Linked DNA regions of Mus musculus. The protein of the gene in region 7 purifies or fractionates together with the protein of the main gene of each other region. This does not show direct contact. Links are inferred from orthologs where the notes say so. Each region holds a gene or a part of one and is shown on either strand. Other genes may lie near its edges.

Evidence for each region.
Region 1: the proteins of Shc1 (region 7) and Kdr purify together in Homo sapiens (affinity purification with western blotting; 3 studies listed by BioGRID and IntAct, with this or other methods). This does not show direct contact. The link is inferred for Mus musculus from reciprocal best matches to the Homo sapiens genes SHC1 and KDR.
Region 2: the proteins of Shc1 (region 7) and Crk purify together in Homo sapiens (affinity purification with western blotting; 3 studies listed by BioGRID and IntAct, with this or other methods). This does not show direct contact. The link is inferred for Mus musculus from reciprocal best matches to the Homo sapiens genes SHC1 and CRK.
Region 3: the proteins of Shc1 (region 7) and Inppl1 purify together in Homo sapiens (affinity purification with western blotting; 4 studies listed by BioGRID and IntAct, with this or other methods). This does not show direct contact. The link is inferred for Mus musculus from reciprocal best matches to the Homo sapiens genes SHC1 and INPPL1.
Region 4: the proteins of Shc1 (region 7) and Lrrk1 purify together in Homo sapiens (affinity purification with mass spectrometry; 3 studies listed by BioGRID and IntAct, with this or other methods). This does not show direct contact. The link is inferred for Mus musculus from reciprocal best matches to the Homo sapiens genes SHC1 and LRRK1.
Region 5: the proteins of Shc1 (region 7) and Gab2 purify together in Homo sapiens (affinity purification with western blotting; 6 studies listed by BioGRID and IntAct, with this or other methods). This does not show direct contact. The link is inferred for Mus musculus from reciprocal best matches to the Homo sapiens genes SHC1 and GAB2.
Region 6: the proteins of Shc1 (region 7) and Ap2a1 purify together in Homo sapiens (affinity purification with mass spectrometry; 4 studies listed by BioGRID and IntAct, counting the BioPlex papers as one, with this or other methods). This does not show direct contact. The link is inferred for Mus musculus from reciprocal best matches to the Homo sapiens genes SHC1 and AP2A1.

The regions. Positions count from the first base shown.
Region 1 is NC_000071.6:75,954,126-75,958,136, forward strand, and holds part of Kdr (vascular endothelial growth factor receptor 2 isoform 1 precursor), read right to left. Parts: exon of another isoform or gene 3,240-4,011; intron 2,986-3,239; coding exon 2,839-2,985; intron 2,161-2,838; coding exon 2,029-2,160; intron 1-2,028. UniProt on the Homo sapiens protein: Tyrosine-protein kinase that acts as a cell-surface receptor for VEGFA, VEGFC and VEGFD. Plays an essential role in the regulation of angiogenesis, vascular development, vascular permeability, and embryonic hematopoiesis.
Region 2 is NC_000077.6:75,677,701-75,682,240, forward strand, and holds the start of Crk (adapter molecule crk), read left to right. Parts: upstream 1-1,558; 5' UTR 1,559-1,723; coding exon 1,724-1,964; intron 1,965-4,540. UniProt on the Homo sapiens protein: Involved in cell branching and adhesion mediated by BCAR1-CRK-RAPGEF1 signaling and activation of RAP1.
Region 3 is NC_000073.6:101,834,824-101,839,444, reverse strand, and holds the start of Inppl1 (phosphatidylinositol 3,4,5-trisphosphate 5-phosphatase 2), read left to right. Parts: upstream 1-1,620; 5' UTR 1,621-1,724; exon of another isoform or gene 1,725-1,780; intron 1,781-2,027; exon of another isoform or gene 2,028-2,493; 5' UTR 2,494-2,692; coding exon 2,693-2,874; exon of another isoform or gene 2,875-3,187; intron 3,188-4,621. UniProt on the Homo sapiens protein: Phosphatidylinositol (PtdIns) phosphatase that specifically hydrolyzes the 5-phosphate of phosphatidylinositol-3,4,5-trisphosphate (PtdIns(3,4,5)P3) to produce PtdIns(3,4)P2, thereby negatively regulating the PI3K (phosphoinositide 3-kinase) pathways.
Region 4 is NC_000073.6:66,385,115-66,389,802, reverse strand, and holds the start of Lrrk1 (leucine-rich repeat serine/threonine-protein kinase 1), read left to right. Parts: upstream 1-1,461; 5' UTR 1,462-1,583; intron 1,584-4,688.
Region 5 is NC_000073.6:97,301,537-97,305,547, forward strand, and holds part of Gab2 (GRB2-associated-binding protein 2), read left to right. Parts: coding exon 1-99; intron 100-832; coding exon 833-923; intron 924-1,487; coding exon 1,488-1,593; intron 1,594-2,613; coding exon 2,614-2,739; intron 2,740-3,339; coding exon 3,340-3,483; 3' UTR 3,484-4,011. UniProt on the Homo sapiens protein: Adapter protein which acts downstream of several membrane receptors including cytokine, antigen, hormone, cell matrix and growth factor receptors to regulate multiple signaling pathways.
Region 6 is NC_000073.6:44,905,115-44,909,125, reverse strand, and holds part of Ap2a1 (AP-2 complex subunit alpha-1), read left to right. Parts: intron 1-1,293; coding exon 1,294-1,402; intron 1,403-1,696; exon of another isoform or gene 1,697-1,883; intron 1,884-2,141; coding exon 2,142-2,292; intron 2,293-2,646; coding exon 2,647-2,815; intron 2,816-2,897; exon of another isoform or gene 2,898-2,917; coding exon 2,918-3,055; intron 3,056-3,258; coding exon 3,259-3,441; intron 3,442-4,011.
Region 7 is NC_000069.6:89,427,111-89,430,576, forward strand, and holds the end of Shc1 (SHC-transforming protein 1), read left to right. Parts: intron 1-97; coding exon 98-336; intron 337-1,206; coding exon 1,207-1,335; 3' UTR 1,336-2,919; downstream 2,920-3,466. UniProt on the Homo sapiens protein: Signaling adapter that couples activated growth factor receptors to signaling pathways. Participates in a signaling cascade initiated by activated KIT and KITLG/SCF.

The DNA.
Region 1 (4,011 bases), on a different chromosome or scaffold from region 7:
GACAGACAGACAGACAGGCAGGCAGGCAGGCAGGCAGACAGAAAGACGAACACAGAGATAGACAGATAGACAGACAGACAGAGACTCACACAGAGAGACAGGCAGAGACAGAGAGCGCCAAGATAAAGGCCTTATGTGTGGAGGGAGCAAGGGAAAGGCTAGCAAGTAAGACTGTAGGTTGCTCTCCAGAACACATTCCAAGTGGAGAGATACGGGCAGGAGGCTCGCAGCACCAAATGCTTAGCACCAGGTGATTAAGAGAAAACAATTATCACTTAGGGTCTCAGTCTCTCCACTCACACTGTGCAGTGTCAGTTGAAATGAGCCTCAAGCTGGGAGGCTTGAAGCCAGAAGCCAGAAGACAAGCAATTAATTAGTTGGCAAAATAAGAGTTACCAGTTGGGAGTGAGCTCTGAGTGCATCTGTAAGTGGATTTGGTTTCTCTGATGTTTCCAGAGAAGTAATGGTTCTACCTGTATGTAAAGGCTTAAAAGCCTACTCATGTAAGAGACAGAAGAAAGGTCAAAGATTCAATGGTCTCAATCAGTTTATGTGTGAATAGTCTCATATTAACATCTGACAGCTGAACTTCTGTAGAAGCATTCAATGTCTACCCTCTCCTCTCTCTTCCTCTCTTCCTCTCTTCCTCTCTTCCTCTCTTCCTCTCTCTCTCTCTCTCTCTCTCTCTCTCTCTCTCTCTCTCTCTCTCTCTCTCTCTCTCGCTCCCCCCCACCCCTTTCCTGTCTCCATAGTATCTATGCCACTGTGCCCACATAGGCATGATAACCTAATGCAGATGGCTAGTGGGTGGAGGCAGAGTACCAGAGAGAACTGGCGGGTGCATCCTCCCTGGATTTGGCACCAAGCCATGAACCACTTTGGTAGTGACAGAACTACCATGCACTTTGGCATCTTCAGTTGCAGGTGCAGTTTATAGAATCCTAACCATCTTAGAGATTTGAGAGCATGCTAGTGGCTCTAGATGCAGCACTGGACATGGTGAGTTGGGCAGATGAAAGGGGCCAACATTTAGACTTGGAGATGTTAGAATTCTGCCAAACCTACCTCTCTAACCACCCTGAGTCACCCCCTTGCACACCACTCCTTCACTCACACAATAGAGTCACATTGTTCCCTTAGTGTATTACAAAAACAAGATCCAGGAACGCTCTTCTGAAGATGAAATGTTCTGACACAGAATACTGACTGAAAAACAAAGGTTAGGGTTCATATCGATCATACACACACACACACATAACACACCCATACACACACACACACACAAAACACACTCATACACACACACACTCTCTCGCACACGCACAGCCAGGGGAAACGAAGTTTCCTTTCATATTTCAATTATAACCCCGGATTGTCCATATCACAAAAGCAATCACCTATTAATCATCTATTGTTTATGAGTGAATCTTGTCTCTGCTCTGGGGAAAATCCTGAACCTTTGATCCTTGTCACTAGTTGAATAGCAATGCCCAACACCAAATCTATTTTTCCCCAGGTATATATTGAAGTGTCATTTCTGTGAGTTAACCATTCAAACAAAGTGAGAATCGGGAACAGAAAGGCATTTCTTACTCATGGCAAATAGTTTTCTCACAGTGATGACTACGTGGACAGAAAATATGGTACAGACTGAAGCGCGTGCTAATTTTGCTTTCTGGTTAAAAGGACGCAGAGCCATTGAAGATAGATTACAAAGAACACGTGGAGAAACCGTAACTCAGACCTCACAGACGAATAAGATCTAAAACTTTCTGAGCACCGACCCCTAATTTCATGTGACAGATCCCAGTCAAAAAAGGTAGGTACACTGAAAAATATTGTGTAAAATTGCCTTCAGGCTATGTACACTTGTGTGACACTTAAATGAACATCTCAGAGACGAGGCTTAACAACCACCAGTGTCACCATGAGTCACCCACAAGGCATCCTACTCAAAGTATGTGCAGCTATGTCCAATGCGATCGAATTGCCAGAGACCATCTGATGAGCCTATGACATCACACTGACCTTCTATTATGAAGAGCGTCTCCGCTCTTGCACAGCCAAGGACATTGCAGGCCTGGCAGGTGTAGAGGCCTCCATCCTCCTTCCTCACCCTGCGGATAGTCAGGTTCCGGTTCCCATCTCTCAGTACAATGCCTAAAGGAAGAAGGAAATTCTTGCTTTATTTCTGATGGGATGCTTTGTCCATGGCATTAAAAATAAAAACTAGTTGCTGCCCTTTATCTCAGACCATTACCTAACTCTAAAGAGGTGCACAAGGTTGACTACTGACTGCTCTCCCATGGGATCTACATGCAAACTCAACCGGACTCCAAACAAGCTGCTTGTGACTCTGAAATGAGCCAGACCCTGTACCCACATTTGTGTGTTCCACGGGAGGGCATGCAAGTGTATAGAGGCCAGAGGTCAATGTGAGGTGGCTGCTTTATAGCTTTCTGCCTTATTCTTTGGCGACAGGCTCTCTCTCTCTCTCTCTCTCTCTCTCTCTCTCTCTCTCTCTCTCTGAATCTGTAGCTTGATGACTCAGCTAGACTGGCAAGTGAACTCCAAGGAGGCATTTGCCTTCCCATCCCCCCACCCTGCCCCTTAGTACTGAGATTCCAGAAGGATGCTGAGTCTAGCTTTCTACCTGGCTTCTAGAGATGAGAATGCAGTGCTTGTGCTAGTGCGGCAAGCATTTCACTGAGTCATTTCTTCGAGTCCCCTAAATACTGCCTTCTGTCTACTTTGAAACAAGCCAATAAGTGATGGTAGTCTTACCTAGCATCCATCAGAAAAATTCTACAACCAGAGAAATAGACAAGTTTCACTCACCTGAATCTTCTACCAGGGTCTCGTTGTCTTTGAACCATGTAATGTGTGGGGTAGGATTTCCAGATGCTGGGCAAGTCACTTCAATGGTCTCGCCAATGGTTGTTGTCTGATTCTCCAGATTTCCGGTGATCATGGGTGCCATGCGCTCTGTGCACATAAAAAGAAAACTGTAAAGCCCACGGCTCAAACAGCTTTCATGTCCTGTGACTATTAAACGGTTCTAAACCTCATAAGCAGGAGCCCATTAATAAACCAAGCTCAAACTACACCGAACTTGGCAACAGCAACCCTGTTGGATGAGTGAAGTCAAACAAAATAAGAAAGGACACTTCAGACAGACACAGAGGCTTTTAAATATTCACATTAGCCACCCCACATGCAAATCACACAGTACTTGGGAATCTTTGGGGATGGTTTTATTCAGGTTAGAGGATTTATTTCCCTCCAATTCCACAAGGCTTTCCCTAAGAGTAACTTCTTCTCTGGAAAGTTGTAGCCTCTAAGAGTAAAATTCATGTTTTCCCTTAGGAAAGACAAAACTTCAGGACAATTATGTAAGGAGTGACTTACATAACTTTGGATAACTATATCATTTCTAATATTTACTGTCAGTCACATATAATGAGAGCCACGCCATTAGCCTTATTTTTATGTGATGTGATTGCAGTCCAGGTTAAGCACCTTACCCTATAACTAAGTAAATGGTTGAGATAATAGTAGAGTCTGATGGGCCTAAAACTCCTTCGTGGTTTCCACTCAAACACAAACCAAACAATAATATCCTACGAAAAGCCAAGGCCATTTGTCTACATGGACAGCAAAGCCTGAGCTTTACCGTGCTCCTGAAAATCACCCAACTGCAGTAGAAACATTGATGAGCATCAGGAAGAATCATGTTGAGAGAATCTCTTCCACACTTAGCAGAACGTGGTCATTTCCACCATGTACTATATATATCAGAGTTTAAACAAGTGTACTTGGCTCTGGCCTACTTCCAAGAACAGAGTTTTGGAAACAACAGAGGCATCCTTATAGAAGCATACCCACTGACTGTGATAGGAAACTTCCTGGTCATGGCTAAGCCCAGAGCTCCCTTCTAAACTTGCCCTCATCTGGATCAGCTACTGTTAACCTGATATAACGGGTCCTATGTGTGGTGTGATCTCTAGGGTC
Region 2 (4,540 bases), on a different chromosome or scaffold from region 7:
AATGAATATGCCTTCCTGGGGGGGGGGGGCAAAGGCAGACTGGTGTCTGACAGTTTGAGGCCAGGCTAATGTACACAGCAAGTTCTAGGCCACCCAGAACTGCATAGTGGGACCTTGTCTAAACAAACAAACAAACAAACAAACAAACCAAATCTCTCTTTCCTTTTCACTTATCCTGGGAATTGGATTTGTTGTTTCCCAGAGTCTCTTGTAAGGTCTTGCCTTGAAGCTCAGCTGTCCTGAAAAGGGAGAGAGGATAGTCATTTGCCCCAAAGGGCCAGAATTTACACTGGATGGCTTCTGCTGCTAGTTCCTGGTGACTAAGCTAGATCAAGATGAGTCACTGGTAACAAGGAAGGGGCCCTTTTCCCTGCTGTCTCTCCCAGGGCTGGCCCAGACTATGGGTGGGAGCTCTGGAAGGCCGGAGCTATTGACTAGGCTAAGGATAACTTTGGTTTTGTAGTGAGACCGGGTCTCACTATATACAAAACACAGTAGTAACAGCTATGCAATGGTGGCACACACCTTTAATCCCAGCACTGGGAGGCAGAGGCAGGTGGATCTTTGGGTTCGAGGTCAGCCTGGTCTATAAAGTGAATTCCAGGATAGCAAGAGCTATACAGAGAAACCCTTCCCTCCCCCATTTTTTTATTAATTTTTTGAGATAGATGAAGATGATCATGAAGGAAGTAAAAGTAGGAGATACACCTGGCTACAACTGAGAGTTTAAAAAAAAATCTGGCTGGTGGATATGGGAGCCCCAATAGAGAGAACTCCATTTTTTTTTTTTTTTTTTTTTGGCCTGGCTGGGCATTTTGTTTTCTTTGCCTTGAGTACCCTTCCCCACTTCATTTAACATCCTACCATTCACCCTAGGTCATCTTATCTGTGGACCCCTTCCTCTTATTTGTTTTGGTTTTATAATACAGGGCCTCAGACTCACAGGGATCCTCCTGTCTCAACTCCTGAGAGGTTGGGATAACTGTCATGAGTCACTTTACCCAGCCCTTGGGTCTCTCCAGGACTACTTAGTTGATTTCCTTGTGTTTCTGCCCCCCCCCCGCCCCCATAGCAGATGTTGTTTCCTGGTCCCTCCCATAGGTGTGTGAATTCAGTGACTTAAAGCCAGTCTGGGTCAGCACTGCACCTGCGCGGCAAATGCGGTATCTGTGGCTGCTCATAGATAACAAGAACTTCAGCTGACCTCGGGGGAAACCGAAGGAAACACGGGGAAAAGACCAGCAAGTCAGGGAGCTTTGAGGGCGACTATCATCCTCGGACCACATCATCTTTTTTAACTTCAGTCCTTTTCTTGGTGTTGCTACTTGTAGGTTCTGGGAGAAAAGACCGGCCGCTACCAATCTGTCAAACACGGATCAGTCAATTTGTAGGTTGAGGCTCCGCCCCTTAGACCTAGACTCCGCCTCCCCATCCTCCGCGGTTGGGGTCTGGGCCTGGCGGCGACGCCCAGGACGCCGCATGCGCACTGAGGGCCCCAAGGACTCCGTTTCCCTTCTCCCAATGGCGGGCGTCGGTCCCCTTCCCGGCAGCCTCCCTCGGGTAGAGGGCGCGTCATTTCCGGTGGGGAAGGCCCGCGGCCGCCGCCGCCATTTCGGGCGCTGCTGGGAGGCTGACACCGGAGCCGGTCCGCTGGGCGGCGGGCGCCAGGGCTGGAGGGGCGCGCGTGCCGGCGGCGGCCCAGCGTGAAAGCGCGGAGGCGGCCATGGCGGGCAACTTCGACTCGGAGGAGCGGAGTAGCTGGTACTGGGGCCGCCTGAGCCGGCAGGAGGCGGTGGCGCTATTGCAGGGCCAGCGGCACGGGGTGTTCCTGGTGCGGGACTCGAGCACCAGCCCCGGGGACTATGTGCTTAGCGTCTCCGAAAACTCGCGCGTCTCCCACTACATCATCAACAGCAGCGGCCCGCGCCCTCCAGTGCCTCCGTCGCCCGCTCAGCCTCCGCCGGGTGAGGGACAGGCGGGTGGGAGGCCCGGGCGGGGGTGAGGGCCGTAGAACCCTGGTCTGCTGCAGGAGGGACGTGGGCAGAGAGGGCTAGAGTGAACCTGGCGGGGGAGCTGTCTTCTGAGCAAGCTGGTTCCCACCGATGAGCGGGATTGTGGGGGAGGAGGAGCTGCTCACCGAGGCCTCTGGGTGTGCCTTGGGAGCCGGGGAAGGGGAACTGCTGCGGCCCCGGGGTGGGGCTGGGCGCCAGGGTCAGGCCCAAGGGCAGGGCAGGGCTAGGCAACTTGGGGACAATGAGTTAATGGGGATGTTACGGGGACATCATTTGGCAGTGGTACTCAGAATGGCTCTGCTAATCCTACAAGTGGCTTTTAGGCTTGAAACGTTTCCTGCAGTGTTAGAGCCGGGTTTGGCCATACTCCCCTGGTGGCCTTCGGTAGGAAGTCACCACGTACTGACTGGCTGGCTGGGAGGGATGGAGACACCCTCAGGAAGCCGGTCAGCTTTTTCCTTTCTTGGGCATTTTTCCAAAATATCTTTACCGTGCTCTTCCCTTGTGGAAGGTGGTGAACTAAGTGACTTGGTGATAGAAAAAAAATCCTTCTGTGACCAGCCCCGCGTAATTGAAGCCTAGCAGGCAAATTGTGTCCAAGAGGTTTTAAGTGTCCAAAAAAACTGCCCGCTGCAACTAGAGTTTCTAGTTTCAAAGTGATTAGTGGAGGAAGATTTTTTTCCTTTAGAAAACAAACAAACAAACAAACAAACAGGCATAAGCCAGTGAGAACAACCTTGGAAGTGAATGGCACTTCATTCTCCCTGGATTTACTTAAAAAGTGTCAGACACGTACTTCTGGGTCTTTTCTTGCTCTCTAAGTTGGTGTTGTGGTCAAAATCTTCCAGGATATGAGAACAGACCTGGCTAGCAGATAAACACCAAGAATAATTATCCCACTGTTTCCTCGTCAAGGACCATTGAGTTTTAACTGTCTTAGCTGTCTTATTGCAGTTGTCTTGGCAATGTTAAGGGAATTCATGCACTTAGCCCTTGACGTTTATGAGATGAACAGTGATTCTGAGATTTCTGTTGTCTCTGTGTATAACAGCACCAAGCTTCTTGCTTTCTGGATGTTTGAAGTGTAAGCTTTTTCCTTCTAGAGCTGAGCTAGTCTCATGAATGGAGACTCACTGGTTAGCCTTGTAGCAGACTTGCATTTTTGGGATAGCTCTAATTTAGATTTACTCCCTTTGGCCACAAAGTGGGATTCGACGGTTCTTTGTGTTAGCACACAAGTTAAGGGGAAAATTTGAGTATTGAAGTCTTTTTAGTTAACAGATATAGACCTTTCTACGTCTTGTTGTTTTTTTTTTTTTTAAGATTTATTTATTATATGTAAGTACACTGTAGCTGTCTTCAGACACACCAGAAGAGGGTATCAGATCTCATTACAGATGGTTGGAAGCCACCATGTGGTTGCTGGGATTTGAACTCAGGACCTCTGGAAGAGCAGTCAGTGCTCTTAACCATCTCCAGCCCCTTGTTGGTTTGATAATATAAAATCAGATAGGAATATTAATGCAACACAATTGCCCTAAACAAAGTAAATTCTATATTTGTGCTATCTGTAAAATAATCTATTGTTTTGTGCTAAGTGCAATAGTAAGATGAAATAGTAAGATGAAATTCAATTCTCATCCAGATTTCATAGTTCATGCTTCTAATCTTGGCACCTAGGAGGCTGGTGCAAGAAGATTTTTAAAAGTTCCAGGCCATCCTGGGAAACTTAGAAAGACTGCCTCAAAGTAAAAGTTATGTGAAGGGTTGTGACTGGGGATCTAGTTGAGTGGTAGTTTATTTGCCTGGCATTTGGGCAGGCTAGGTTTTATTCCCAATAGTTGGGGGTGAGGGATTCAGTCCTCTGCTTTCTCTGTATTTTATTAGAAAATGTGGGAAAAGCATTAGGCAGGCTTATTAGTTTAATAGTTCTCTATACCTGGGCATTGTGGTTTTATATCTCAGTAGCTCCACCTTTTCAAAATAGGTGGTTGGCCTCAAAGAGGAGAAGATTGCCAGTTTGTGGGTTAGGTGTGGAAAGTTCATTGGCTTTGTGGCAATTTGTTCTGTCACGTTCCCCAATTTCTCTATAGGTCAGTCAGTTCACTTGCTAGTTTTTGTTGTTGTTGTTTGTTTGTTTGTTTTTTGTTTGTTCGAGACAGGGTTTCTCTGTGTAGCTCTGGCTGTCCTGGAACTCACTTTGTAGACCAGGCTGGCCTCGAACTCAGAAATCCATCTGCCTCTGCCTCCCAAGTGCTGGAATTAAAGGCATGCGCCACCACTGCCCAGCTGCTTGCTGTCTTTATGATGGTTACTTAATCGCTGTCCTTCTCCCCATTAAGCTGGTTTTCTTTTGAAGCCACACAGGAATTACTTGAGTTTTAGAGAGGCGTGTATAGTGTATAATTTTAATAGTTAACACTTATTGGTTGATTATTGTATGCTAGATGCTTTGCTAAATGTGGTGTATGCCTTATATAATTCACTGTCAGTGAAACAATCCAATGAGTGAAATATTACAATCTCCA
Region 3 (4,621 bases), on a different chromosome or scaffold from region 7:
CTCAGCTTACAAAGGGGAAGCTGGAAACGGGAGTCCAGCAGAGATTCTGGAGAAAGGGGTAAAAATTCACACTGCCTACTATGATATAGATTGACTGGGTTGGGGTCCCTTGGACGAGGATAGTCCATTAGGAAGTCAATCTGGAAGATACAGAAGAAACAAAAGCTTGCATTTCGCCCAGTGCTGTATCCTACTGATGAAGCCAAAGAAACTATTAGTGGCTTCCCAGAGGCAGAAGCACCCTCTAGCCTTCGGCTAAATTGTATTTGTGTTTATTCTGAGTGTGTGCCTAGGTGTGTGGGCTGCATGGATGACTTGGCACAGGTGTGGAAGTCAGAGGACAACATGCAGGAGCTCTCTCCTTCCACCACATGGGTCCCTGGGGTTCAACTCAAAGTCTTCAAACTTGGCAAAAGCGCCTTTACCTGTTAAGCCATCTCACCCCAATGACACAGTCTTTAGCATCGCCGTCCTCTCAGGAAGCTGTAAATATATTGATTTTGGAGGGTCGTGACAGCTTTTCTCCAACTCGTTCTCCTTTCTTTCTTTGAGGCCACATCTCTTATGTAGTCTTGGATGGGCTGGAAGTCTAGACCAAGGAAGCTGGCTTACAACTAGGTAGAGTTCCATTTGCTTCTGCCTCCTGTGGGTCGGGAATACAGGCATAGGAAAGTAAGACCCCACTGCACACCCCCGGGATCTGGGGTGGGCGTCCTCCATTCCCGGCGGGAGGAGCTGGGTACAGATTGGAGGATGTTACTTTATTTAAGCCCTGGCAGGACCAGGAGAAACAGGTAGGTGGGTGGAGGATCTCTGTTTTTGTATTTATCTGTTCTGGAAGGTCCCTACAGACCCGTCACGTCCCAGGCTTTGTTCTAGATGGGTTAAGCCAATGCAAATTGGCTTATCCTCTAAACAGAGGGAAACTCCTCAGGGTTGACCCCAGGCTCGGTCAACAGGTTCAATTTACCAGAGCGAAAGTTCTCTCCCAGGTTAAAGGGATGCTCCTGACAGACTCTAGGAGTTGGTGGTTGTAGGCAAGCGGCTAGAGGCCTGCGCCTTTAAGGAGCCAGGGGGCAGAGGGGCGGGGCAGGAAGAGAAATCCTTGGAGACGCCACCACCATCCAGGTCTTTTTTTAGGGGGGAAATAGGGCGGGCCAAAGCCCTGTTTGGGTTCCGCCCCGTCTTCTCCCGCCGGGTCCCCTTTTCCGCCCCAGGGGTCGGTGGATGGGAGGTCTTAGCAGCCAGAGTCTTAGGAGCTCCCTGCTCGCACCTGGCCCACGGAAGCGCAAGTTTGTTGATTTGGAGGGAGTAGCCGGAGCGGGGGCGGTGCTAATAATACCCGTTCAGTCCCCAGTCGCGCTTTACAGTTTACACAGCTGTCACCTTCGTTACTCCTTAATTAATAATAAAAATAGCCGCCGTCCCGGAGCGCACGCTGCATGCCAGGCCCTGAGCTTTACAGGCAGAGCCCCAATGAGCCCGCCCTCGTAACGTTACCCCAGTTATCGAAAGCGAGAAGCTCGGGCGCACTGAAGAGCCAAGGCTGTCCCGAGGTCACTCTGCGGGCGTGCGGCGGAGACCGGGACGCGGGCGGACGAGGCGGGGCGCGGGCGGGGCGGAAGGCGCGGGGTGCGCGGTGGCGGCGGATGGCCATCTTAAGTGGCCGCGGGGAGTCCAGGGAGGCTTCCCCGGGCTAGGAGTCAACCCGAGTCGCCCTAGAGGTGGGGCCTGCGTTCGGTAGTTGAGGCTCTGAGACTTGAGGGAACTTTTTTTCTAGGTAGTCGAGGGGGTCCTCCTGGTCTGGGACTGCAAAACCTGGGCCTGCGGGTGTGGGGCGTGGTGCCAGGCAATTTGGTGGAGATGGGGGAAGGGTTTTGCCAGGCTGGAGGGCCTGCGGGGACCGGTGCGTGAAAGGCACCTCGAGCGCGCGCGTATGTGTGGGGTGGGGTATCGGATCTCTTTGGGATCTTGTGGGATGTGTCAGGAATCGTTTTGGGGGGTTCAGGTCTGAAGGGGCCTCTGACCTTATAGGAGTTACGAGAACTTGTTCTCTTGGATGTTGTAGTAGTTGTGGATGTCTATCCTGGAGCCTTGCTTTCCGAACCTTGATCCCGCAAGGCTGTGGGGGTGCCGAGTAGAAGAGATGTGTGTAGTAGAATCAGATTTGCATAGGGATTAGGGGTCATCTCATTGCGAATCGTTGGAAGGATTGAATTCACCAGCGAGAACTTGGACTCACAAGTTGTCCCGGAGCGGGTACCGGGGAACTGGATCTTCTTGAGGTGGGGGGACAAAATAATTGTGGGACTTGGGAGGTGCTGGTCTTGCGGGTCCTGTAGGGCTGTCGGAGCATCGTCCTTGCCGAGAGAGGCTGGGGGCAGGGGCGGCCCGGGCTCTGGGCCGAGTGGAGGGGGAGGGGACCGGCCAGCTCCTAGCTCCGTTCCCGCCCCTCCCCCGCCGCCTCTGAACAAACTTTTCTTTCTCTTCAAGTTGAGGCCGGCGCTGCGGGCGGCGGCGGCTGCGCGGAGATCCAGGCGGTTGGCGCGGCCAAGCGTGGAACCCACATACTGGGTTCTCTCGGGCTGGTGGATCCTTAGTCCCGGGACCCGGGCCCAACCTCGACTTCAAGCTTCCCCGGGCGGATGGCGCGGAGCGGCAGGCATCGGCGGCGCTGAGCCCTGCGTGGGCCATGGCCTCAGTGTGTGGGACACCGAGTCCCGGGGGTGCGCTAGGCAGCCCGGCCCCAGCCTGGTATCACCGTGACCTGAGCCGCGCTGCTGCGGAGGAGCTCCTGGCTCGGGCGGGCCGCGATGGCAGCTTCCTGGTGCGAGATAGCGAGAGCGTGGCGGGGGCCTTCGCACTCTGCGTCCTGTGAGTAGGGCGGGCACACGCCGAGTGTTCCTTGGTTGTGGTGGCAATCGTGGTAGTGGGGTGACTGTAGCTGGTGGGGCTGCAGCCCTGTCTCCAGGGGAGACCTTGACTTTATCGCTGGGTGGAGGAAGGATACAGGGGAGCACTTCCTGCTGTGCCTGGAGCACTTTCTGAGGCCCGAGGCCAGAGTTCTGAAGCTCAGGGTGGGTGTGATGGCAAGAAACAGTGGCAGACGGCGGTAGACCAGCTTAGACTTTCTCCCAGATGTACAGGGAAAGGATGCATGCTCCACATGAGTGCAGTTCGTTTTAAAGCACTGCAGTAGGGGGCAGAGAGACCAGTGTTTGGACGCCTGGGCAATTCTGCGACTATATATGATTGTAGGGTGGAGTTGAATAGTGTGTGTTGGGAGGAAGACTTGGGGGAGGCAACAGGGTGAAGCTGTGTGGGACAGAACCTTCATTTTTTTTTCCTTTCTTTTTCTTCCTTTCTTTTAAGATTTATTTTCTGTACACTGTAGCTGTACAGATGGTTGCAAGCCTTCATGTGGGTGTTGGGAATTGAATTTAGGACTTCTGCTCGCTCTGGTCAACTCTACTCACTCAGGCCGGCAGATTTATTATAAATCAGTACACTGTAGCTGTCTTCAGGCACCAGAAGAGGGCATCAGATCTCTTGACGGGTAGTTGTGAGCCACCATGTGGTTGCTGGGATTTGAACTCAGGACCTTTGAAAGAGCAGTCAGTGCTCTTACCTGCTGAGCCATCTTGCCAGCCCTCAGAACCTTCATTTCATGAGTCAATGAGTGAGTCTCTCTTGGCTCTAGATTGAGCTCTGGTTATCTGGCCGTGGATGAGTGCTGAGCCTAAAGCTAGACTTGGCAGTCTTCTGAGTGGGCCAGGTTCTGTGACTGCCCCTGGCAGCTGTGTGTGGTAATGGTTTGTAGTGTTCTTTCTGACCTCTACTCCCTGCCCCACAGTTCCACACTAAGTGGGCCCCTGTGAGAAGCATTAGGGGCTTGCGTTTAGATTTAGTGAAAATACTCTTAAACAACCCATTTCCTGTCCCATCTTTCTCCTTCTTCTGACACCTTTGGGAACAATTTTGATTGTTACTCTTGGGATGGGGCTGTGGGCATTTGGTGGAGAGGAGACAAAGATATTGCTACATATTTGTCATACCTAAGATGACAAAGGATTTGGTGGTTCCAAAGGCTAGTAGTAGTGTTGACAGTGAGAACGCTGGCCAAGACAGTTGACCTGCTGAGTGAGGGGTTCTGGGAACCTCTCGGCTTCTGCAACAAGTCGGAGGTCCACCTAGTGTGGAGAGACTAAAGCCAGACATCTTAATGTCCATAAAAAATCCCAAGACTCTGCCTCCTAGCTACCTCTAAACAGATCCCTTAATTAGGGAGGGGACAGGGCAGGTGCTGGATCAGCTGCTGAGTGGGAGGGGGACAGCTGAGGCTTTCTCTGGGTAAGGAACTATTGTCCAGTGAAGAGAGATCCTGGTTCCATTGTCAGGAGGAGTGTGTGTGTGTGTGTGTGTGTGTGTGTGTGTGTTTATAGGGAGGCAGATTTCAGCTCTCAGGAGCCTGGCAGAAGGGATCAGAAGTGGCTGGTTTCTTAGGTTTCCCAAACACATGCTTACGTATACACACATCACAGTACACAAAGAACATTCAAGACACACCCCTACCCTGACAGACAAACTTGCTTCTGCTCTCGTACTCGATACCAGCCAGCCC
Region 4 (4,688 bases), on a different chromosome or scaffold from region 7:
TCCAACCTCAGACTGAAAGTCAGGGTGGGATGTGAGCAAACCCAAGAAAAACATGGGTCTGCAGGAATGAAAAAGAAGTGAGAAGGAATTTTAGCTATTCTGTAATTGTCTCCTTTGCAAACTTGTGATTAAAACACACCTACTGGGTACAGTTGAATACTGTGATATGGCCATCTCAAAAAAAGCTCATATATGTGTCGAATATTCCAGACCTTTGTTTGCTCGTTTGTTTGTTTTAAATTGGGCACTTTTCTTAACCTATTTCTAAGATTGTTTAAAGTGGAAAATTTCTTGCCACTTAAGCATAGGCAACACAAGTCCTCTTAGTGTGTGTTGGTCCTGGCTCTAGACATGGACTTCCTTTTAGTAACGCTAGGTGGCAGTGATGTATGTATGCCCTGAAGGCGCCACCAAGCCAGGCTCATTCAAACTGCTGACGCCATGCCTTGCAAATTATTAGGGACTTTTCCATAGCAGTCATGTTGCTGGCCTTGCTAATTGGTCTGAGGACCTCGGTGGTGAGGACAGGATTGCAGAACCCCACCTACATTTTTGTAACAGTGTTCGATGGAGGAAAAGAAGAGCGAACGTAGAAGAGCTGCGAGGTTGTGGCCTTGCCAACTAGGGATACAAACTCCAACTCTAAACAAACACTTGAGGTGTTCCCAAAATATCTCAGGCGGCCCACGGCTTCTCAAATTCTGTGAGCTGCCAGTGAGGCGGTCTGTCAATGTTCTTTGCACTTGGTCTCAGGAATATTCATTCTTACCAGTAAGAAGCACTTCGGTCCAGTACTGATTTTCTACCAAGGATTATCTTTTCTCGGGGAAAACGAGCGGAATCCGAAGCTTGCCTGCTGAGTGTATAGCCGCGTTTGGTTATTAACTTCAGTGGAATCAACTGACAACATTCCACCTCATCGCCACAAGCAGCCAGTCAGGGTGGCATGCTCCTGTAATCCCAGCTACTCCGGAGTTCGAAAATCGAAAAATATTCATCAGCTAGTAATATCTTTGCAAACGTCCATAATTTAAGTTAGCGAACTCGTGTGGTGAAAAAGCGCAGTTTACAAAACATCAACTTTTAAAATGTAGTTTCTGCACCGCTCCATAAAGACCTGCACACACATTAATATTCTCGCTCTCTTAATATTTACAGTCACAGTATATGGCCAGCAAACAGGATAAAAATTAATCTGTTACTCGAGCAGGGTAGGAAAGGCACAACCTTGTCACTGTGCCTGTCCGCAGGGAAGGCAGCAAAGCATTCAAATTTGGAGAGGAGTCCACAAAGTTTCAAGACCCAAGCGTCTACCGAGGCACAAGAGCAGTGAGCTTGGTCACCGACATCTTGCAGCTAGGGAAACCGAGGCAGGCCATCCAGGGGAGGTCGGGGCGGCCGACCCTCTGGCACAGCCCTGCTTCCGCGCCACCCGCCCTCTCCGCCCGCCAGGCGGCCGCAGGATTGAGGAAGTGCGTCTGGCCCCCGGCGGCCAGAGCATTGCAGGGCAGAGTACGGTAGGACCGGCAGGCCCCGGCCCTCTGATGTCGCCGATCCGCGGCTTCCAGACCCTGCCGCCGCAGGTAAGTGCTGCTCCGACCCGCGCCCTGTCCGAGGACCCGAGCGAAGCCCGCACCTTAGATCCAAGCTTTGCCCGCACCACCCCGTCCCGCGCCCGGGTCCCCGCGTGCAGCCGCCGTCGCCTGCTTGTGCCCTGCGTCTCGCCTCGCCCCACAGCTCCTCTCCCCAGCTCAGCACCCCGTACCCCGGGCGACCGCGTGCTCCGGACCCCGGCCTGTGTCCGGGACCCGCAGGTCACAGCTCCGGTGGGCGTCTGGAACTCGGGCTGCCCGGGGTCTCTTCGCTGCCTCTCTGGGCTGCGCAGCGACCCTCGCCCCTTGAAGGGTTAAAGCGAGTGCAGAGCTAGAACCCGGGAGCTGGGGCAGCCGAAAACCAGCCTGGGATCGGAGCGGGGCGGGGGCGGGGAGCCGAGTTCAGAAACAAAAGTAGGAAACACTAGGGAGACTACAAAGTTCTTTTGCGTTTGGAAAAAAAAAAAAAAAAAAAAAAGCCTGACTTTTAACTTGGGAGTGGGGGTGGGGTCTAAGCGTGGGAGTTCGTGGGCGCGAGTGGCTGGAGGCAAAGGCCCAGCGAGGCTCTTCCCGCGCGTGCGGGACAGCCGGGTGGTGCTGGATGGTCTGGAGGTCTTCCCCTGCTCCACGCGTGGGGCATGTTTCTCACCCTGTGGTCCCATCACTTTGCCTATGGGCTCTGTTGCTTGGAGCCAGTGGCAGTCCTTAATGGATGAGAACAAGAATTCCTGGAGGGGCAGTAAGAAAGACAGCAATGGAGAGACTCTAGGGATGCTGACAGCCAGTTCAGTCTGGCTTTTAATAGTTTGAGGCCATTACGTTTTTCTCTTACATGATGCTCATCCCTGCAAAAACCGGAGCAGGATAGATAGGGTCTTAAAGGCAAATTCTCTTAGCAAATTCTCACCAAATAACCTATTTTTGATGAGTTGGTCACTCACACTCACATAGCAGCATCAAAGGACCTACGATTTGTACACTTTGAAAAACTTTAGCATTGAATTCTTTCTGTGATTTGGTTTTCATTGTCCTTGCTCATGTTCCAGAAGAATATAGCATACCAACACCTAATTTGTCCTTAGAGGGGCTTTTCTAGTCAGCCAAACGTTTCCTTCCCCCACACCTACAACAGTCTCCTTAATAGTTTGGATATAATTATTATAACTAACTAAATAAACCAGCTAAGGAGATGGCTCAGTATACAAAGCACTTGCTGATCACGTGTGAGGATCTGAATTCAGATTCAGAATCCGCTTAAAGCCAGATGAGACAAAGGTGCAATCCCAGATGCCCCCACTTCAAGATGGGAGATTCCCTGGAAGCTCACTGGTCAGCTAGCTTTGTGTGGGCAACATGAAGAAGAAGCCTTGTCTCAAACATGGTGCAAAGCAAAGACCAACAGCAGGTCATCTGATGATCTCAACACACACATACGGACGCCACACTCACACACACACACAAACATACAAACAGAGAGAGAGAGAGAGAGGGAGAGAGAGAGAGAGAGATATTAAAAATAAGAAGAACCCTAGAAATCATCCCAGAGTAGTCTTGTTGGCTCCATCCCCAAGTGGGCCCAGTCCATTCCCTTCTTCTGTTTTTGAGACACAACAGGGCTGATGCACATACGAACTCCTACACAGTCCAAATTGCCATGTGCCCCTCCCTCCGCTCTGGATATATCGTATATATTCATTCTTTATTTTAATGTTTCTTTTTAAAATTACGTATACAATATATTTTTTCATATGCTTTTCCCTAGCCCCAACTCCTCCCAGATACTTCTCTTTATGCATCCAACTTGATGTTCATTCTGTCAAAAACAAAACAAAGAATACTAAGGCAAACCAGACAAACAAAAAAGGCACACAAAAATCATGGATCTCTCTCTCTCTCTTCTCTGTCTCTGTCTCTCTGTCTCTGTCTCTGTCTCTCTGTCTCTCTGTCTCTGTCTCTCTCTCTCTCTGTCTCTCTCTCTCTCTCTCTGTGTGTGTGTGTGTGTGTGTGTGTGTGTGTGTGTGTGTGTGAGCGCGCGCGCGCGCGCGTACTAGGCATAGGGCCTACCCTGGAGGCATTCGTATGTGTGTGTGAGGCTGATTCTCCTCATCCCAGCTGGTATCACAGTTGCACATAGCTTCTTGGTTGAGAGGTGGGACTTTGTGCCACTTCCCTTTCTTGGTGCTGGGATTTTTGTCTGGTTTGCACCTGTTCAGGCCCGGTGCTTGCTTCCACAGTCTCTATGAGTTCATACGGGCATCAGCCCTGCTCTGTCTTACAATCTTTCTACCTAATCTTACCCATAGATCCCTGAGCCTTGAGGGGAGGAGCATGACAAAGAAATCCCAGTTCGAATAGAGTGCTTCAAAGTCTCTCACTCTCTGCACACTGTCCAGATTGTGGGTCTCTGTGCTAACTCCTATCTACTGCACGAAGCTTCTCTGAGGTGGACTGATTTGTGGGTATGGCCATGTGTCATCAGGAGCCATTTTATAGCTGTGTCCCTTTATTGGTATACCAGTGGGTTTCCCCACGGGGACAGAATGGTGTGCATACATTCTTAATGGCCCGATGATGGGCTGTGTCCTTCCTCTTCATGGTGTCTCCAATACTCTCATCTTGCGGTTGGCATGAAATCTAGGGGCACTCTTCCCTTTCATTCCAGCTCTCTGCCATCCCACTGGCCCTAGCCCACTGTTCCCAGCCTCTCTCTCCAGCTTGAGGTATCTGCTTTGCTGCCCCATGTCTCTCCATGTGCCTCCCAAACCTACACAGTCTCTCCCTTTCCTTCTACATCGTCCTCATGGCCCCTCTGTCCATGTACTCCTCCCCCTTCTGTTTATCTCCTGCCTACTTACTCAGGGTCTCTGCTGGGGCTCCTGAGGGCAGAGTCTTCTTTGTTGACTGTGGCACCTTGTCATAACTGTGCCAGGAACCACCTGTGGAGAGTGGTAGATACAGTGACGGATTAATGAAAGAAGAGCTTTGAGTTAGATGTGGGTTCATACTGGTGGAACCTTTCTGTTCCCCAACTTTCTGTACTCATGTAGGGCTTCAAACAACATAGTTCTTGGGCCTCCCGCTTCATGATATTATGAC
Region 5 (4,011 bases), on a different chromosome or scaffold from region 7:
GCTACCCGTCCACAGCCCTTCCTATTCACAGAGGCCCCAGCCGAGGAAGTGAAATCCAGCCACCCCCGGTCAACCGAAACCTCAAGCCTGACAGAAAAGGTAAGCCCACTTTTTGCCCCATCTCATCTCTGGATAGCATTTGCTTAGAGATTGGGTAGATACTGGGCTTAGAAGTATGTAACTGTGCAGATAATGTAAATTCACACTTCGGATTTGTTTATAGGGAAAGTGTCCGGAATGCTTCACATAGTCCACTGCAGGTGTGCAGTAGTAGGGCCATCGTCTGTGTGGAGATCAGGAAAACATGCTAGAGTCCAAACTGGACTTCTGCTGGGATTGAAAAGGAGAATTGGGGAAGTTAGACAGAGATGGAAGCCATGGGTGTGACTCTGACTATGTGACCTTGAGCCTTACAGGGTCCTGTGCCCCTTTGCTTTCCTTCACTGTTATTTGTATAACACTGTCCAAAATCAACAGCAGTAGTCACAATGACCATCTCTATTGTGAATACAATCTGTTCTCATGAGAAGTCATAAAACCTAGGGAGAATCTTTATTGTCAGACCCATAAGTCCCATTTTGGATTCTGGAAGTCTTGATTACTATAGATACAGTGGGAAGGACACATACTTTAGAATGTGACGACAAAGACATAGACTTAAGTATCTAGAGTTTGATATCTGTGGGAGTCCTGAAACCAAGCCATCTGTATGTCCTTACTGAGCCTCAGATGCCCTGTATAAAGCTGACAGCGTTTGTACAGTGCTGGCGTGTTACATATAGTCTGTGTGTGTAGTGTAGTCACTGATCCCTGAACTCTGTTCCTGCTTTAGCAAAGCCAACACCCCTTGACCTGAGAAACAACACTGTCATCGATGAGCTGCCCTTCAAGTCACCTGTCACCAAGTCTTGGTCCAGGATCAAGTGAGTGACTGCAAAACCAAAAGTTTGGGGTCAGAATTGGGTGGCATGATAGCTGGCCTAGCAGTCAGGACACCAGGACATTGATGATAATGCTATCAGGAGCTTTGTTCGGTTTCTGGTCTTTGCTACAAAATATATGGTATAAACACTTCAAGACAAGGATAGATGTGTTTTGGTTCATGATTCAGTCTGTGGTCACTTGGCTCACTTGAGGCCTGTGGCAAGGCAAAAACAGGATGGAGAGAGCATGACAGCCAGAAAACAAAATGTATGCCTGTCCTGGCTGTCCCATTCAGCCCCTGTCTACTTGGCTGGTACTATACACATTGAGGGTGGATCTTCCCACATCTGTTGCTGTGCCACATGCCAATTATCGTCCACGTTTTGTTAATCTGTCTCTTGATCTCTTGGGAATTGTTTTCCTCTTCTGTGAAGGGGAAATGATTAAAATGTCCCTATATTAAATCTATCTGATAATGGAAGTGTGAAACTCAGGTGAGAGGCCAGGTCTGGGGTTAAGAACCAATACTTCTCAGGGTTCACTCTCTTTTTTTTTCTGTCCAGCAGCCACACCTTTAACTCCAGTTCCTCCCAGTACTGCCGTCCTATCTCCACACAGAGCATCACCAGCACAGACTCGGGAGACAGTGAGGAGAACTATGTCCCTATGGTGAGTCCTTGAGAGTCACTGGACCGTCTTCCATTTCTTCTTCCCAGCTCAGGCCATGGCCATAGACGTCAGCTTCCTGATGCAGACCCTTCCTAGACACATGACTGTCAAACAACAGGGTTATTAGCCATTAGAAATACACAGCTTTACCCCCAAGGACATCTGTGTTTTAAAGATCCCAGGTGGCCTGCCTTTCTCACTACTCTAATTTAGGTGACATTATGATGGGTGTCCTTGGAGAGACAGTGTTGGGGAGACATAGAGATATATAACTCCATGCAGTGTGATGTAGTAGTAGAAATACACACAGAGCAGAATACAGTTCCTCTCTGGGGTCATTAAAAAGGGTACAGCTGCCAAGGCTGCAGAGGTTCGAGAAACAGATCAGTCATTAAAATGGGACTATCACTTCTTACTACAGTCAGATCATGGGCACGTTTTAGACATAAAGTGCTCTTTTAAAGCTGAAGACAGAGCCCTAGAACTTCTCACGTGGGAAATGGCTGAAGAAATGAAGGCCTGTCACCCAGAAACAAGGTGACTGTTCAGGTCTCTGGAGAAGAGCAGAGAGCATGAGCTGCTTGTGTCCAGGTGTGCTAGGAAGCTGTGCATTACCAAGTGTGGAAGGATGTACTCACCAGGGACCTGCCAACCGAGGCTGGGGCTTTAGGATAGACAGTACCTAAGACTTGCCCCTAGTCTGCCTAGGGTGTGGGGAGCAGGCACATGGATTAGCACAGGTTTGGTAGTCAGAGCACATCCCTGGCTCTTGTCATGCACCAGCTATATAAATGTAGGTGACTCACTGTACTTCCTGAATCTAGTGTTATAACCTCTAGTGATTTGAACAGTGGTGATATCCACCTCTCAGGGCTGCTGTGAAGACATGAATGAGAATATGAACAGTCTCAGTGCACTGGCTCAGTGCAGGACACAGTAGAGGAGCTCTTGCCCCTGGAGGTAGTTTTCCAGGTGGTGGTTTAGGTTGTTAAACTTACCCAGTTTTACTCTTTGTCATAGCAAAACCCAGTATCTGCATCCCCTGTTCCCAGTGGCACTAACAGCCCAGCTCCAAAGAAGAGTACTGGCAGTGTGGATTATCTCGCCCTGGACTTCCAGCCGGGCTCCCCAAGCCCTCACCGCAAGGTACCTGGGAGTTTGGAAGGAGGGAACACATCCCAGCAGCCCCTCTGCAGAGACATTTTATATGAGCATTGCAGAGCGTCAGTCTACTCATGTCCTTGCCGTGGGATATACTCACAGGGATTAGTCATGATTACAAAGGAATTCTGTCAACAATGTAGGAGATGGAGATCCTCTCTTCCTTTCCTTTGAGAGAGACAGAGAGAAACTGTCTGAATGAGACACAGCATCCCTTGGAAGGGACTTTAGGGCCTGGGAAAGCCTCACCAAGAACCACTTTCAGCCCTAAAAGCCAGGGAAGTCCACCTCAACACACTTTCCCTCAGTGTGTTGTGAGGGCATAAAGGCCTGGTGCTTATTGTCATCCAACACATCCCTTTCCCTGGAGGTGTGGCCAAAGGAAGATGGGTGGAGGCACTATTGAAAGCCTGAGCCAGAGGCAGGGCCCAGGACTGGCAGGTTATCCTGAAAGCTGAGAATGAGGTGTCAGCAGGCTTGGTGCCTCCAACAGAAGACTACTTCACTTTGAAATCCACCTTCAGCACAGACATTCAAAGTGATAGCCTTATGTAGGTAACTCAGCCATTTCTTTTGTCCCCTCAGCCATCCACATCATCTGTCACATCAGATGAGAAGGTAGACTATGTCCAAGTGGATAAAGAGAAGACCCAGGCCCTGCAGAACACCATGCAGGAGTGGACAGATGTGCGGCAGTCCTCCGAACCTTCCAAGGGTGCCAAGCTGTAATGAAGGGGGCCACCAAGTTCAAGAGCCATGAGGCAGCTGCCCAGACCTGCCTCTTCTGTCACCTCTTTCTCCATTTCTTCCTACACCTCTCTCCCCTGTACCACTTTCAGCCTTCAAAGCACTCAACATCAGGGACCTGACCCTTTCCCATCAGAGGCAAGGGCCTGGTGGAGACACTTCCTCTGCCACTTGGGTTCCACCTATGACTTCTGTCAATACTAGCTGTGCCTCCACCACCTTAGTTAGGAGCTGTTGCCAAAAAAGCTTCCTGCTTTGGACCCATTTGTCTGCTGCTTGGACTCTTAGAGGGAGGGCTGAAGCTCTGAGCTAGGCTCATGCCTCGTGTCTGCTCACTGCTCTCTACCCTCTACCTCAGGGCTGCTTCTCCATCCCCAGCGGAGAATGATAACCCAGGGAGCCAAGAACCAGCCGACCAAAGTACACATGTGTTTTCCTATCCCTGCAACTTTGGCAAGGAAAAGGCAAGGTGACACAAGATGAAATGGTTGATAGTGGAAGTCGGAAGTT
Region 6 (4,011 bases), on a different chromosome or scaffold from region 7:
GTGCTTAGAAGCCAGGACTCTGCATTGGCTTCCTCGGGCTGTGTGCCCCCAGGCAAATGGCTTCACTTCTCTTTGCTTCTTTTCCTGTGTGGTTCAGGGGCTGGTGTCAGTGCGGTCTGCAGCATGGTTGCTGTGGTAAGGTGCTGACAGCTCCCCTGCCTGCTCTTCTTCCTCCTGTTTGTCTACACATCCCTCCTTTGCCTCCCACCACCTCCACCCTTGTCCCCAGAGCGCCGCCCCGAGCCTTCTGTGTGCCTGGCTCTCTATGTCTGAGTCAGACCTTAGGGCCGCCCTGTCCTGCTGAGAGGGAGTGTGACGGGGACGGTGACTCAGTCATAGACTGCCAACAAGGGCTGTGTGTCAGCATCATGGGCACCTCGCGGAGGTCCTAGTCCAGTTTGGGAGACAGGAGAGCTCCTGGGGATGGCAATCCAAATGGAGACTCAGAATGAAAAAAATGAAAGTGCTGTCCGGGAGGCCATAAGTGTCTCAGTCCTCGGGGAGAAGGAACACCTATGCCTACCATTCAAGCCCCTAGTTACCACACATCTGAATGCATTAGGTGCCAGGCCCAACAGGGTACAGAGATGAGGTCACTGTCAGCCGCTGGCAGGCTTCCTGGAGAAGGTTGTTGGGTTTTTTGTTTGTTTGTTTGTCTGAAACAGGATTTCTTTGTATAGTCCTGGCTATCTTGGAACTTGCTCTGTAGATCAGGCTGGCCTCAAACATATAGAGATCTGCCTGCTTCTGCCTCTGGTGTTCTGGAATTAAAGGCTTTTGCCACTACTGCCCAGCTTGCAGAGGATTTTCGAGGTGGAGTCAGAGGGTACCCTGAGGAGTGATTTTCATTCGATCTTCTGACCAGGGATGGAGGAAGGATGAGACCCAGCTTCGTCACTTCAGTAGTTCCTCTGTGCTGAGAATGCAGGAACCATGGTGGTTCAGGCTGTAAGAGGTAGAGCCCAGCAGTAAGAGAGGCTGTAGCCTGCCCTAGAGACTGTCACACAGGGAACTAGCAGAGACTTCTGCTCCACTGTTACCAGCATAGCTTGGAAAAGCGAGTGAGGTGGTGGGCACAGTGCACACATTCAGGAGGCTGAAGCAGGAGGCTCTTGACTGAGGCCGTCAGGCTTAGTTCTGGTCCCACCCTCAGGCCACCCTATATTCAGGCCTTGGCTTCCCCTTTCTTGTCAAACCTGACTCCCGTGGTGTCCTGTCGTAACCGTGTGTCCTTCAGGGGACAGGCCCCTCTGCTGCTTCTGTCTACCCGCCCATCACTCTTTCCTCCTGCAGATCGTCTCCTCAGCCTCCACTGACCTCCAGGACTACACTTACTACTTCGTTCCTGCACCCTGGCTCTCTGTGAAGCTACTGCGGCTGCTCCAGTGTTACCCACCACCAGGTAAGGCCCATGGACTGCCAGCATCCATGTTCCCACTTGTCCTAAGCGAGGCTGTGCCTCCAGACTCGTGGAAAGCTATGGGTGAGAGTGGGGGGCACAGCCTGGTGCCCTGCCCCATGCAGCACCTGGGGTGGCACAACTCGTCCTGTCTTAGGCCCGTAGCTCTCGGTCCTGTGGAGTGAGCTGGTTAGTGTGCTGCTTTCCAGCAGAGGGCCGTTGTCTCACTCTGCCTAGCAGCTGTCCTGTGCAGCTGGGCTCTGCCTAGTATCCCTCCCCTGCAGCAGTGAGGCACTCTGGGGACTCCAATCAGCTTTATTTCTGTTAAACTCATAACCCCTGGCACCCAAACAGTGTGCAGTGGCCTTCGCGGGTGGTAGCTCAGAGTCCGTCTCTTGAGCTCTATGGTAGCTCCTTGGGAAAAGCTTGAGTGCCGTGTGGCTCTGGGATAGGCTCCTGGGTTTTCCATCCTTCTGTGAGAAACCTAAGGAACATCAGTGCAGCAGAAGGGGAAACTGAGGCTCACAGGAGTGGAGACTCATGCCAAGCAGAGTCAGTATGGAATGAGTAGGAGCCCAGACCTAGAAATTGCTGATCTACATTAAAAGGCAGAGGCCCAGCCTGGGACTGCCAGGCTTGAAGACAGCTGGGCCCCTCCATGGACGGTGAGAGCTAGAGCAGGCTGCAGTCTTTGGAGCCCACCGAACAGAGGGCTCAGCCTCTTTCCCTCTCTCTCCCCCAGAGGATGCAGCCGTGAAAGGGCGGTTAGTGGAGTGTCTGGAGACTGTGCTCAACAAGGCCCAGGAGCCTCCCAAGTCCAAGAAGGTGCAGCACTCCAACGCCAAGAACGCTATCCTCTTTGAGACCATTAGCCTCATCATCCACTATGACAGGTGCTGTGGGCAGAGGTGTGGGCAGGCGGGGCCACTGGCCTGTGGAAGGGAGGCTGGCATCTAACACCTGGGGCTGAGGGACAGCAGGGCCTGGGCAGAGGACAGGTGTGAAATGGTCCCCTGCGGTGGCTGCAGAACAGCTGGCTGCTTAGCTTGTTAGTTTAATCCTGCCTACCGAGGATTGAAGTCAGGGCTGGTTTCCACTGGCCGTATCCCCACTCTAGTGCTTCCCTCTATCTGGGCTCCTGAGGGTTCCTAGGAGGGACCCAGTAGGATGCTGGGTGGGCAGAAGTGAGAAACTGGATCCTTAGACTCACATCTTGTCTCCATGTACACTTCACTTGTGCCTGCCAGTGAGCCCAACCTCCTGGTCCGCGCCTGCAACCAGCTGGGCCAGTTCCTGCAGCACCGGGAGACTAACCTGCGCTACCTGGCCCTGGAGAGCATGTGCACGCTGGCCAGCTCCGAGTTCTCCCACGAGGCCGTCAAGACCCACATTGATACAGTTATTAATGCCCTCAAGGTACAGCCCTCTGCCCCACTCAGAGAGGCCTGGTGCTTGATGGCCTACAGTGGGCCCAGTACCAGCTTAGATCCCAGCTTACTCCTGCTCTCCTTTCCTCAGACGGAGCGGGACGTCAGTGTGAGGCAGCGGGCGGCTGATCTCCTGTATGCCATGTGTGACCGGAGCAATGCCAAGCAGATTGTGTCAGAGATGCTGCGGTACCTGGAGACTGCTGACTATGCCATCCGAGAGGAGATCGTGAGTCTAGAGGACAGGGCTGGACACCTGAGTGTGAGGGAGGAGGGCTGGGGTCTGGCCCCTTAGGTTGAAGGAGGAGTCTGGGGAGGGAGAGCCCCCCTGGGTGTTACGATGGGGCCAGCCATGATCATAGATCCAGGACTGGCAGTAGTCACCCTCCCGTGGGCATGATTGTCCTCACACATCGCCACCTCCCATCGCAGGTGCTGAAGGTGGCCATCCTGGCTGAGAAGTATGCAGTGGACTACAGCTGGTACGTGGACACCATCCTCAACCTCATCCGCATCGCGGGCGACTATGTGAGCGAGGAGGTGTGGTACCGCGTGCTGCAGATCGTCACCAACCGTGATGACGTCCAGGGTTATGCTGCCAAGACAGTGTTTGAGGTTAGCAGCCTTCGCGTTGACCCCGTAATGGAGCGCGGCTGCCAGTCAGGAGCAGCTGGGCAGTCGTCTGCCCCTCCAGCAGGTGCCAGCTTCCTGCTCAGCCAGCCTTGGCTGAGTCACCCTAGGACGTGGGAGCTGCAGCCATGGTACCTTCCCAGGGGGCGTGAAGCAGACACAGCATCTGTGCAGGAGAGCTGGCCCCTTCATTCCTCCCTGTGCACTGCTCCACAGGCTCAGGGGTTGCAGTCAGTCGTGACAGGGAGTGGATGGCTGCAGGGATGTGTGGTAGAGTGCCCGCTGGGCTAGGGCAAGAGTCTGGGTTTCAGTCCCTGCACTCATGCAGAAGCTGTGTGTGTGCGTGTGTGCGTGTGCGCGTGTGCGTGTGTGCGTGTGTGCGCGTGTGTGTAACTCCAGCACTGTGGGCCAGAGATAGGCAGGTTCTGGGAGCTGGCTGTCCAGCGAAGCTAGCCAAAATGGGAATTCTGGGTTCAGTGAGAGACCCTGTCTCAAAAAATAAGGTAGGGAGTGATTGAGGAAGATGCCTGGCATCTTCGGGCCTTCTTATCCTTG
Region 7 (3,466 bases):
CTTTTCTGCCTGTTCTCCCCTACCTGGCTTCCCACACTGAGTCTGGGTCTCAGGTGATACTGGGGCACCTCTCCCAGCTGTCTCTCTACACCCCTAGAGCCCTTTGAAGATGCACTTCGGGTGCCACCCCCACCGCAGTCCATGTCCATGGCTGAGCAGCTGCAAGGGGAGCCCTGGTTCCACGGGAAGCTGAGCCGGAGGGAGGCCGAGGCGCTGCTGCAGCTCAATGGTGACTTCTTGGTGCGAGAGAGCACGACCACGCCTGGCCAGTATGTGCTCACTGGCCTGCAGAGTGGGCAGCCCAAGCACTTGCTGCTGGTGGACCCTGAAGGTGTGGTAAGTGTGACAGAGGTGTGGCAGGGGCTGGTGTGGTTTTGCTTTCTAGACTTCCTTTGCCGGAGGCTTCCTGTGGACTCCTTTGCCCTTGCTGGACACTTGCATCCACCTGCAGTGGCTCAGGGTTCCTTCCCTGCTGTCCTCGAGTCTGAGCTGTGTTCTTCTCAGTTCTGACCAGTCCTCACATCCCAGTGAAGCCTGCCAGCCCCCAGAGAGTGCTTACTTGATCTTTTGCTAAGTGAGGAAATGACACTGGAAAGGCAGTGGTGCCCAGTGTCAGTGGTTAGGGGGTGGAGACCCCAAATTTTCTCTTGCAAGAGGAGTCAGGAGCCTCCCTAGCTCCTTAGCTTCAAACTCAGGGTTTTGTTTTGTTTTGTTTTGTTTTCAACAAATCTAACCTGCCTTACTATTCCATACAACCTTGGTTTCTTTTCTTTTTCTTCTTTTTTTTTTTAGGGGAGGGGTGGTGGTGAGGTTCAAGACGGGGTTTCTCTGTGTAGCCCTGGAACTCACTCTGTAGACCAGGCTGACCTCGAACTGAAGCGCTCCGCCTGCCCTGCTTCCCCAGCGCTGGGATTAAAGGCTGTGCCGCCACCGCTCTGCTCAGTTTCTTTTCTCTTCTCAGCATTTTTTCCACCTTGGTTTTGCATTGTGTCACTTTTGAGAGACACCAGCTTCCTTCAAGTCAGAATTTTCACTGTCAGCTTCCGTGATTTCTGGTCTCCTTCCCCTTCGCCCAGTTCACTGCCCATTCCCACCCATGTGACTGTCTTTTCTGTAAAGATGCCTGGATAATCACGGCTGCTGGCCCGCCTTCCTCAGTCTTCCTGAGCTCTTCTCTTGACCCAACCTTCTCTCCCTGCCTCCCAGGTTCGGACAAAGGATCACCGCTTTGAGAGTGTCAGTCACCTGATCAGCTACCACATGGACAATCACTTGCCCATCATCTCTGCGGGCAGCGAACTGTGCCTACAGCAACCCGTGGATCGGAAAGTGTGATCCTTCTCAGCTTCTCCAACAGGATGCTCTCCATTTCCGTCTCCCGTATTCTCTAACTTGTGGGACCTCTGTTTTGTGGGTCTGGCCTTGGGTGGGAACTGGGAGCAACGAGGACATGGGTTTAGTGCCCACTTGAGAGAGAGAAAAAGAGGGTTTCAGTAAGGAGCCTGGGGTAGCATCCTGCCTCTGGCCAAACTTCACCAAAGTATTAATGTGCAGAGTGGTCCCTTGTCTGGGCCTTGCCTGTGCCAACCTGATGCCCTTCCCCCCCAAAGGGTGGGTTCTTATAATGGAAAATGCCCTGTGATGATAGGCCCAGTGGAGCAACTGCCCTTTGGGGGAAGGGAAATAATTATACCTCTGGTTTACTCCTGGGTCTTCAGGGTACCCCAGATCCCGCATAACATATCCCACTCCCTCTGCTTCCCCTTAAACTTTGTGCCTTTGACTATCATAGGTCTGCAGATACTTAATGCAGAGTTCTCAGGCCCTTCACGTGTGGACAGGGGTTACTGCCACCTTGGCTTCTGGAGCCCTGTCCTATTCAGCACCCCTTCCTGTGTCTAGGGAGAATAGGGACAGGAGTGGCCGCTATCTGCTCTGCCTTTCGGATGTGCAGCCCTTAAGAGATTGCCCCAAGCCTGAATATGGTGGCGCACGCCTTTAATCACAGCACTCAGGAGGCAGAGACAGGAGGAATTGTGAGGCCATCCGATCTACAACAGAGTGAGTTCCAGGACAGCCAGGGCTATGGAGAGAGAACCTGTCTCCAAAAACCAAAAAGAGCGATTACCCCAGAGCCTTCTTCCTGATGGTAGCGGGGAGGGGCAGGACTGGACCCATCTTGCTCAGTGCCTCCTGACCTCAATGCCTTTCCTCCAAGGGGTCTGTATACATTTCTCAAGCCTGCTCCTCCCATGTTTGCATGTGTGTTATAGTCTACAGCCAAAGTATAGCCCTCACTGTAACCCCATCCTGCCTCCCTCCTTTGGGATAGGTGTGTGCGTCTGACTTGGGCCTCCAGGGTGTGTACAGTCAGTGTGGGTTTTGTGGAGGCAATAAGACTGAAGCAGTAGACAATCCCCAATACCATTTGCAGGTCTGGAACTGCACTCTCTTTTTTAAAAAACATGTATACATTTTAGGGCTGTAGATTTATTTTCCTGGTTTTGTTTTTCATTGCTGACTTTTGAGCACAGAATTATGATAATCAATTACATTTATACATCACCTCGATGACTTTTCCAAACTTTTATTTTTTTTTTTAAACAACTGTTGGGATTTTACTCCCTGGCCTTAACTAGGACAGGATTGTACCCCACTCCTCCCCCCCCCCTTTTTCTTTTTCGCCAAGACAACTGAGCAGAAATTTGGCTGAGCAGTGTTGTGGGACTATGATGTGATAGTTTTAGATCCTACCTTCTGCTTTCGGGCAGCTGCAGCCAGCACAGAAACCTTGCAAGCTCACTCTGTGTGTAGGCTTTCTGGACAAGGAATGGTCGCCAAATTTTTGGTTTGGATGTCTTATACCAAAGGGAAATAGTCTTCATTAAAGTTCGTATTTCTTTTACCTCGGCCTCTCAACTCCTCTGGAAAGTCTGATTGATGGGGGCTGTCTGTGGGAGGTGGTGACGGACCCCATCTGGGCTAGGTCCAGTGGGCTCCAAGCCAGCGCCAGCCCGCAGGCACCAGTTTGCAGAGATTTGGGGAGCTGCGAGGCTGTGCGGTAGGGACGTATCTGCAAGGCGACTGGCTCGCGGCGGGAAGGGGCGTGTCCGGACCGCCCCCAGGCCCACCCGCAGCTCGCACGGCCCCTGTCGAGTGGTGCGTTCCACTCTGCTACCGGGCTAGCTGGGCGGCGACAGGCGCACTTCGGAGGAGTGGCGTGGCGAGGCCCAGCCTTCCTGGGTGCGGCGTCTGGGCCCTTCCCTGCTTTCCCTCCCCACCGCGTTCCGTGGTGGTGACCCATTGGAGTTCCGGTTCCGGTTGCTGTGGCTGCGGGCGGGCGGTGAGTCTGGAGCAGGCGCGCAGTTGGTGCAACGGCTCTGTGCTTTCCCCCTCGGCGTGGCTAGGGCTTGCTGCTGCTCGGGGGGGCTGCGCTGCCCCTGACTCCCCTCCGGGCGATGGTGCG